Xenopus tropicalis: one gene and its partner. The protein of the gene in region 2 binds, or shares a complex with, the protein of the main gene of each other region. Links are inferred from orthologs where the notes say so. Each region holds a gene or a part of one and is shown on either strand. Other genes may lie near its edges.

Region 1 (3,832 bases), on a different chromosome or scaffold from region 2:
GACAATGTTTTATAATTACAGAGAAAAAGGAAATCATTTTTAACAATTAGAATTATTTGCTTATAATGGAGTCTATAAAAGATGGCCTTTTTGTAATTTGGAACTTTCTGGATAATGGCTTGCGGATAACAGATCCCTTACCTGTATTAATTTTAGCCTACTTTGTATTAGACTTTGCTGCCCTCTTATGGGCAATGGGGAACTTCTTTCTGGCATTCAGTAAGTACTCTCCCCAACCTTTTTGCACCAAGCAGCAGCACCATTATGTTTCCCTCCTCAAAGATCTCCTGCAGGAAGGGATTTATGTTGCCTGGCTGCTCCTGGGAACCCCTAGCCACTCCTGACATTGAGTAATTCAAGGGTAAGATTCTTTTTACAGTACTTGGGTGAAAAACAGCAGAAAAAAAAACGTATCTGCATTTCTCAATCCACTCTGACCTCAAGTTACTTTGTCTGGCAACCTACTCCCCAATGTAATGCAAAAGCAGGATCCTGCTTTCCCATGAACTTAAAGGGTTACACAGGGTTTGACACCTTTTGCAATTTGACTCAGAATATCCTCACCTTCTAATTTTGACCCATTAAAATAAATGTGTAATATGCAATATTTCCTAATGGACAGCCTGTATGTCAAAACATCATGAATTATAGTAGACGTGATAACTTTATTCAGAAACAATTTACTTTCAGTTTGTTCGGCTTTTATTCTTTACCACTCAACTGAATACAATCTTGCTGTGACTATACAGGCTTTGCATGAGATTTAATTCAATGTACAGCTTGATAGCAAAAGAAGAAGCCTACAAATAAAATCAGGACTTCAAGCACTGCTTAAAGGTTATTAAAAGCCTCACATAATAGCTAATATTCCTGGACAGCCATCCCTCCCCCACCCAAACAGCACCAGTCTTCCCCCAAATTCTGCCCAGTTTTCCTTACCTGTTGACAGTATCACAGTGGGCTTGAAGGGACCATGTTGTGCTACTGAATCCTCTCTTCAGTAGTCAGCATGGCTTCAACTGCATATGTCGGTGATCACTTACAGGTGAAGATTTAGTGCTGCGAGATGGCGCTCTTCAACCTTGCCATGCTACTGTGCTTTTTATCAACAGGTAAGGAAAGCTGGGCAGATGTGGGGGCAAACTGGTGCCGTTTGTGTATGGGAGGGATGGCTGTCTATAAATACTTTTATGTAAGGGATCATTCTCATTTGAGTACTCACAAGTAGCAATGTGAGTTCTGTTTTTCCAGCTGTGTTTTTCCAAGCTCCAAACACTTGAAAATATTTCCCAATCACCTTGCTTGAATAAAAGCAGTAAAGAAAGATCTTAGTTACCTGCTCCGCTCCTTCTTGTGCCCATTTCTGTAATGTAACTCCATTCATTTGTACTTGGGTTGTAACATTCAACTGTGCTCAGGCACTGTCGAGATGCACCGTCATAACCCCCGACAGCATACAGCATGCCTGTAATGGCCAACACCAGCAAAAAAGGGGATTATAAGCAGGAAATGAAATGCGAATATCATTCATGGATATTTTTTTGCCAGTACAGAAGTCACAGCACATGACAAGATGGCTATATGTAGCAAGTAACAAACAGTCTAGTCTACTGGTATTCAGAGAATCAAAGCAAATATGTGATTTGCTGCTGTGTGTACTGCACTGGACTATTCCCTTTTTAATAATTTTACCCATTTTAATTCTTCATGTATATAAAAATTGTATTTTGCTAGCTATTAATAGTAATATGTATCAGGGATTTGGCCCTACACACTGTATATGTCCATCTGCGTGCAGTTGTTCAAATTAAATAAATTATCTAGACAAATTATAAGTTCCCTCACATGTAAACATACAATTACATATTACAATGTCTTAAATGTCTTCATAAATGACCAAGTTTGGCAATGGCTATAACACTGTTTTCATGAGTTTTTCAAGACAAGTGGTATACATGTTAATATGGTGCCATCTTTACAGTACCTAGTCACAGCACCCCTCTGCAAAGTATGCCGAGGACGGTGGAGGATTGGTGAAGACAAGTAAGACTTTATTAGCATGATAAGGACTATTGTTTGCAAGTGCAGGTTCAAATATTTATGTGGTGCAGAATGTTCACATGTTCAAAATATTCCTGCCTCACTTGCATCTGGTTTGGTCATATGAACTAAAATACAGAGAAGTCTTTATATCTTGTGGCTTTCCAGCGCCTGCCAAAATCTAACTTCAGTAACAGCCAAAGATCGACAGCTTGAAGACTTGTAAATGAGACTGCTAAACACACTTTGCTGTCTCTATCTGGAACAACACAATGCTAATCCTATCTTGACATGAAAGTACACAATAATGAAACCAGTTATTTACAGGCAGAACGTACCTCCAACGACGCCTACACCAACACTGCTCCTCCTAGTGTTCATTGGTGCAACATGAAACCACTCGTTTGCTTTTATATTGTATGCTTCCACTGTTGCAAGACCTACAAAACAATGCAATTCCTTCAGCTATTATGTAATGGAATCTTGCGATAGCAAAACTCACTTGTGTGCCAAAAATATTGAGGGTTTGGCATATAAAAATATTAGGTAACTTTACTAACACATAAGTTTCTATACAACTTTATCTTTATTTGTATACTGTATATCTATCTATTTATCAAATACAAGAGCCTGAGGGTACGCACGGTGCTGCCTGCAAAGGGAATTTAATAGAAATCAGCATTTTTACAGCAGGTTAAATTACCTGTACTCCCATCAAATCCTCCAACCGCATACAAGAGCCCATTCAAAACAGCTGCTCCTAAAGTGCTTCTCCTGTCTTGCATGTTGGCCACACTTGTCCATTGGTCCTTTACGGGGTCATAAGAATCTACTGTGCGCACCCTAAGTGAGCCATTAAATCCTCCAACAGCAAATACATGGCCAGACATGTACACCACACCTGGAACAACATGGTCTTGTTACATATTCAGCAATTATAACAGCCAATATTAAAGACAAAAGAGGTACCAAAAATCCATGTCTGTTTAAAATCACCTATGGAATATATATTCTAATGAAAGATAGCGGGTGTAAATTTTGTACTCATTTCCCAGCAGCCCCCCATGCACCCTGATGGGCCTCCCGATAGATATCTGGCTGAAAAATCAACCAGGTGTTGATCGAGCAGGTTTGTTTTTGGCTATGTTCTATTACTCAGGTAGTAGTATGAAGAAGACTTATTCCAGGGATGCCTGAAGTCTTGGCAGTAATAGCATTTTTTAAAGATTATTTCCGATTTTTTTTTTTTTTTTTTCTTAACTGGTATATTGCATGCTCCACCTAGTGGCAGCGAAATAAACAACTGTGCCAATATCCTCTCAGGCTACTGGCACACATCTCATTTTCTCCACTGATAGTAGAAAGAACTCATTTACTCTCCCATCTGCTACATTTGTGTGCATTCACATGACTGAAATCCACTGCTCACTGTACACAAAATGCACACTTGAGCATGTCAGATGTATTACAGTCCTGTCAGTGCTCACACAAAAGTATCGAAAGGGGGACAAATTGCCATTCTCTCTGCTAGTGTGTGATGTAAAAGATATGCAGAATGGGTAAGTAATAAAGGAAACCTTAAATGAAATAAAGAAATACAAGTTCACCAAGACAAGAATGACATTTATACAATATTTTTAGCTAAACAAGAAACAAAATGTCTTATCACAATGCCAATAACCATTTTGTATAAGCCTCATATTAATTCAGTTTTGTATTTGGATTGGTTAACAGTGGAGTTGATTATGTTGAAACATACCTGATCTGCATCTCCTTGATGGCAGTTCAGCCA
Region 2 (3,832 bases):
GGCATTGCCGACACATTGGAGTGCTTCTTCCCCTTTGCAAAGATACATGGAAAAAGGCTTGGGAGCGGCTGTGGAAGTTAAGCACCCTTTGAGATCATGTATGTAAGTGGTGTGCTGAAGATTTTTGTTTATGTTGCTGGCATACAAAACATTGATAGCTTATCATTCATTTAATTTAAAGGTGACCATACCTTCAATATAACCAGCAGTAAAGTGGTGTTTAGTGGTTCAGTGGTACAATTCTGATGTTTCCCAAGCATATGGAAGTCCTTTGTGTTCAGTTCATAAATTACGCCTAATTTAGACTACATTATAGACAAAATGTTGAGGGGTAGATCCAAGCGCACCGGACAGCAGGAGACTCTCTTAAAACTTAGTCTTTATTCATCCATTTAAAAATAAGCCACGCCTTTTAGGCGTGGCTTGTTTTTAAATGGATGAATAAAGACTAAGTTTTAAGAGAGTCTCCTGCTGTCCGGTGCGCTTGGATCTACCCCTCAACATTTTGGATATTTTGCCTTAGCTACGGGTTCGGGGCCCTGAGCACCCGGACCACTACGGGACTACGGTGAGCTTCTTTATATCGCTTCTCAGACTTCTCTACTACTTGAGTGACAGACCCGGGGTATAGACACCCGGGTCTCTACTTTACATTTGGTACGGATTTGTACTTTGAACCCTTGTGTCAGATGAACCTCTGAGTCATAAATAACATTAGCTCTAACTTTAATTTTAGCGAGCACAAATTTTGTATTTGGTACATTATAGACAAATTACCTTTACTTTCTCTTTTTCATCCTGTTCACTTGTTTCGCTGCTAGAACTTCCAGTCGTTGCCTAGGCAAAAAAGAGAAAGAAGATTATGATAATTATAAAATAACAATGACATACAAGAAAGCCAATGGAGAGAGCCATATAATTTCACTGAAGACCAAGACCCACTGAATCTAGTTAAACAGCCATGGATAATTCTACTTTTTCCATGAGGTAAAAAGTTAGAACAAATATGGCTGTAACATGCATGGTGGCGCAGTGTACAGCATTGCTGGGGCCCAAAACTACATTCCAGCCAGGGCACAAGGAGTGGAAGGAGTTTGTATGTTTTTCACTGGTGGGTTTTCACCCACATTCCACAAGCTTAATTGGCTCCTGATTAAAATTGATCACAGTGTTTTTTTAAGGGCCATTAAGTGTAAGTTTCACTAGGGACTGATGCAAAGCACTGTGAAATATATATTCACTATATATAATAATCCTGCTCTTTCCTCATCTTCTCTCTAACTCTGTAGATGCAGCCGGCAGACTGACAGACTGCTCACAGGAATGCAAACAGGCACTAGCTGTTCCTCAACAGTGTCTACATGTAGGCTTCTCTCCATGTTCCTCAACAGTGTCTACATGGAGGCTTCTCTCCATGTTCCTTAACAGTGTCTACATGAAGGCTTCTCTCCATGTTCCTCAACAGTGTCTACATGGAGGCTGCTGTGATTAGAAAGCCTCCTTATAACCAAAACAGAAACGCAAGGAACGTGTCTTATAAATGTTTTATATATTTTGATTGTATTTTATACTTTCTCCTTTTTATTTTTACCCCCCCTTCCTTATAAAACTCAATAAAAATTATAAGTTACAAAAAAAGAAAGCCTCCTTATATGCTTGTCATGCCTTGCTAAATTCTGCTCAACAAACCTTAAATGACAACAAAGCTTAACTTTGAGCTAACCCCGTGTTGAATGGGCAGATAGCTGATTACACAATCCCCAGCCCTAAGAATCAGTAACTTTATTGGCACATATTGGGGATACATACATGTCTCACATTGTCCAGAGGATCACATGCAAAATATGTCACCAACATCTTGGGGTTGGGGTTGCCTAATCTTACTCTAGTCCTGGGATCCCTGTTCCCACCTGTCTGAGCAATTCAACACTCCTTCTAGAGTCCCTTTGCTATTCCACACAGGATTTTTCTACTGGCAGAAATCTGGCCGAAAGCCCTCCAACCCTATACTTACCTAAAGTTTCCACTTGGGTTCCTCTGCTGGATGACCCACCGGAAAGCAGCTTCTTGTTGGTGCAATAGGCGGCCCATGCTAAATATACCTATCTCAGACACCTAGTACTTTCTGCTCACCTGTTTTCACCTGTATCCTACTCTGCAATGGCTAGTCTACCACTGTGCCCCCATAAAGGCCACGGATAATGTTGCCCCATGTATATCTTTCTGCCTGTAGTGCCCCCTATTGGCTGGTGATAATAATTACTTAACTTATTTCATTAACTACATTTTACATTACATTAACATTTATTTATAAAGCGCCAACATATCCCGCAGTGCTGTACAATAAGTGGGTTACATACATTGGACATACAGAGTAACATAGAAAGCAATCAGTAACCGATACAAGAGGTGAAGAGGGCCCTGCCCAAAAGAGCTTACAATCTACAAGGAGAAAGGGTTGAGACACAAGGTGTGGGACTACATCTAACTTATTTTCACTCCTTATACCCAGGCTGGGTGTAATTGGCTATGGGAAAAAAGTGGCACTCCTATTTTGAGTAAAATCTGAAAATTTGATTCTAATGGGCATGCACAAATCGAAGCCTACAAAAATAAATAAGATGGCGTTAAATTATTTTTTCCCCCAGTGGCCAGTGTAACTTAGCAATTTGATTCACTGGCGGATGTTAGGAATCCAGTGTTGTAAACACCATCCTTGAGTGAGAGGTGAACCACACAGCACTACCTGCATTTATTGCCCAAATGAATGTAGTAGGGCTGTGTAGCCAATCTTTCCTATGTGTTCCTTAGACTTTTTTACATTGTATCACAGTGGCTCTTATTTCTGAGCACACCAGCCAGTAAAACTGCTACTTGAACTTTACAGATTGTCACAGAGATTTGATTCCAGTCCACCTATATTAAAGCCTTAATGATGGTAACACACACTGAGAAGGCCAACCTAATGCAACTACAAAGGACTAAAAGTATAAATTAGGAGCAACTGTTATTTGTGTGTGATGGATTAAATAATTGCACTATATTTATTATTTACACAGTTGATACAGTATCTGATAATGGTATGGCACCACCCATCATAATCAGCGCCTGATTTCTAACCTGGGCGCCCCGAGGCCCCCCCCCCTCCCGAACGCGCATGCGCGGACATTTAAACTCCCATGTGGAGCAGTGGGGAGAGGTCCCCATTGCTCTGTATGGGAGCAAAATTTTAAATTTCATTGCGTCGGGGTGTGTCATAATGGTCTAGTGTAGCACCTTTCCCATTGTATAAATCACTTTAACTGCAGTGTTACAATGTCTTCCTTACCATTCTGGTCATATCCCCAGAAAAGGTCACCCCTTTGTTTAATCGTTGTTCTTGGGAACCAGTGCTGCTCCCTCCAAGAGAATTTTTCCGAATGAAACCTGTAATATAAATGTATTCATTTGCAGATACCGCTACAATTTCAATATTTTATCTGCAGATTTCTTTTTAAAGGAGAAAAAAAAGGTAAAAACAAAGTAAGCGTTATCAGAAAGGTCATGTAGTATGGTAATGTAAATACAGCCATAAGCACTCACAGAAAAGCTGGACTGAGTCTTCTATCAAAAGAAACACAGGATTTCTTGTCTCCTTTTTTGTAAACATGTTCTTCGGTATCCGACTTCCTCTCCTTTAGGGCTCGTTCAGGGGCTTGGGGCAGGAGTCTGTACAACTCTCTCCCTTCTCCTGCTCCCTCCTTCCATAAGAATTGTGTGATCTGAGCTACCAAGGGCTATCATTCAAAAGAATTGTGTGATCTGAGCTATCAAGGGCTAGAGCTACAGCAGA

The links. The genes of interacting proteins can lie anywhere in the genome.
Region 1: the proteins of wnk4 (region 2) and klhl2 are in contact, whole or in part, in a crystal structure (PDB 4CHB), measured with the Homo sapiens proteins. The link is inferred for Xenopus tropicalis from reciprocal best matches to the Homo sapiens genes WNK4 and KLHL2. Residues at the interface, in NP_115763.2 of Homo sapiens: Glu557, Pro558, Glu559, Glu560, Pro561, Glu562, Ala563, Asp564, Gln565; in NP_009177.3 of Homo sapiens: Arg345, Phe361, Gly363, Ser364, Leu365, Arg366, Thr392, Phe408, Gly410, Ser411, Thr412, Gly413, Ser438, Ser439, Tyr455, Ser487, His504, Arg534, Tyr583.

Annotation. Positions count from the first base shown.
Region 1 is NC_030677.2:51,308,997-51,312,828, forward strand, and holds part of klhl2 (kelch-like protein 2), read right to left. Parts: coding exon 3,800-3,832; intron 2,942-3,799; coding exon 2,744-2,941; intron 2,481-2,743; coding exon 2,379-2,480; intron 1,466-2,378; coding exon 1,337-1,465; intron 1-1,336. UniProt on the Homo sapiens protein: Substrate-specific adapter of a BCR (BTB-CUL3-RBX1) E3 ubiquitin ligase complex that mediates the ubiquitination of target proteins, such as NPTXR, WNK1, WNK3 and WNK4, leading most often to their proteasomal degradation.
Region 2 is NC_030686.2:21,732,987-21,736,818, forward strand, and holds part of wnk4 (serine/threonine-protein kinase WNK4), read right to left. Parts: intron 3,427-3,832; coding exon 3,329-3,426; intron 838-3,328; coding exon 778-837; intron 1-777. UniProt on the Homo sapiens protein: Serine/threonine-protein kinase component of the WNK4-SPAK/OSR1 kinase cascade, which acts as a key regulator of ion transport in the distal nephron and blood pressure.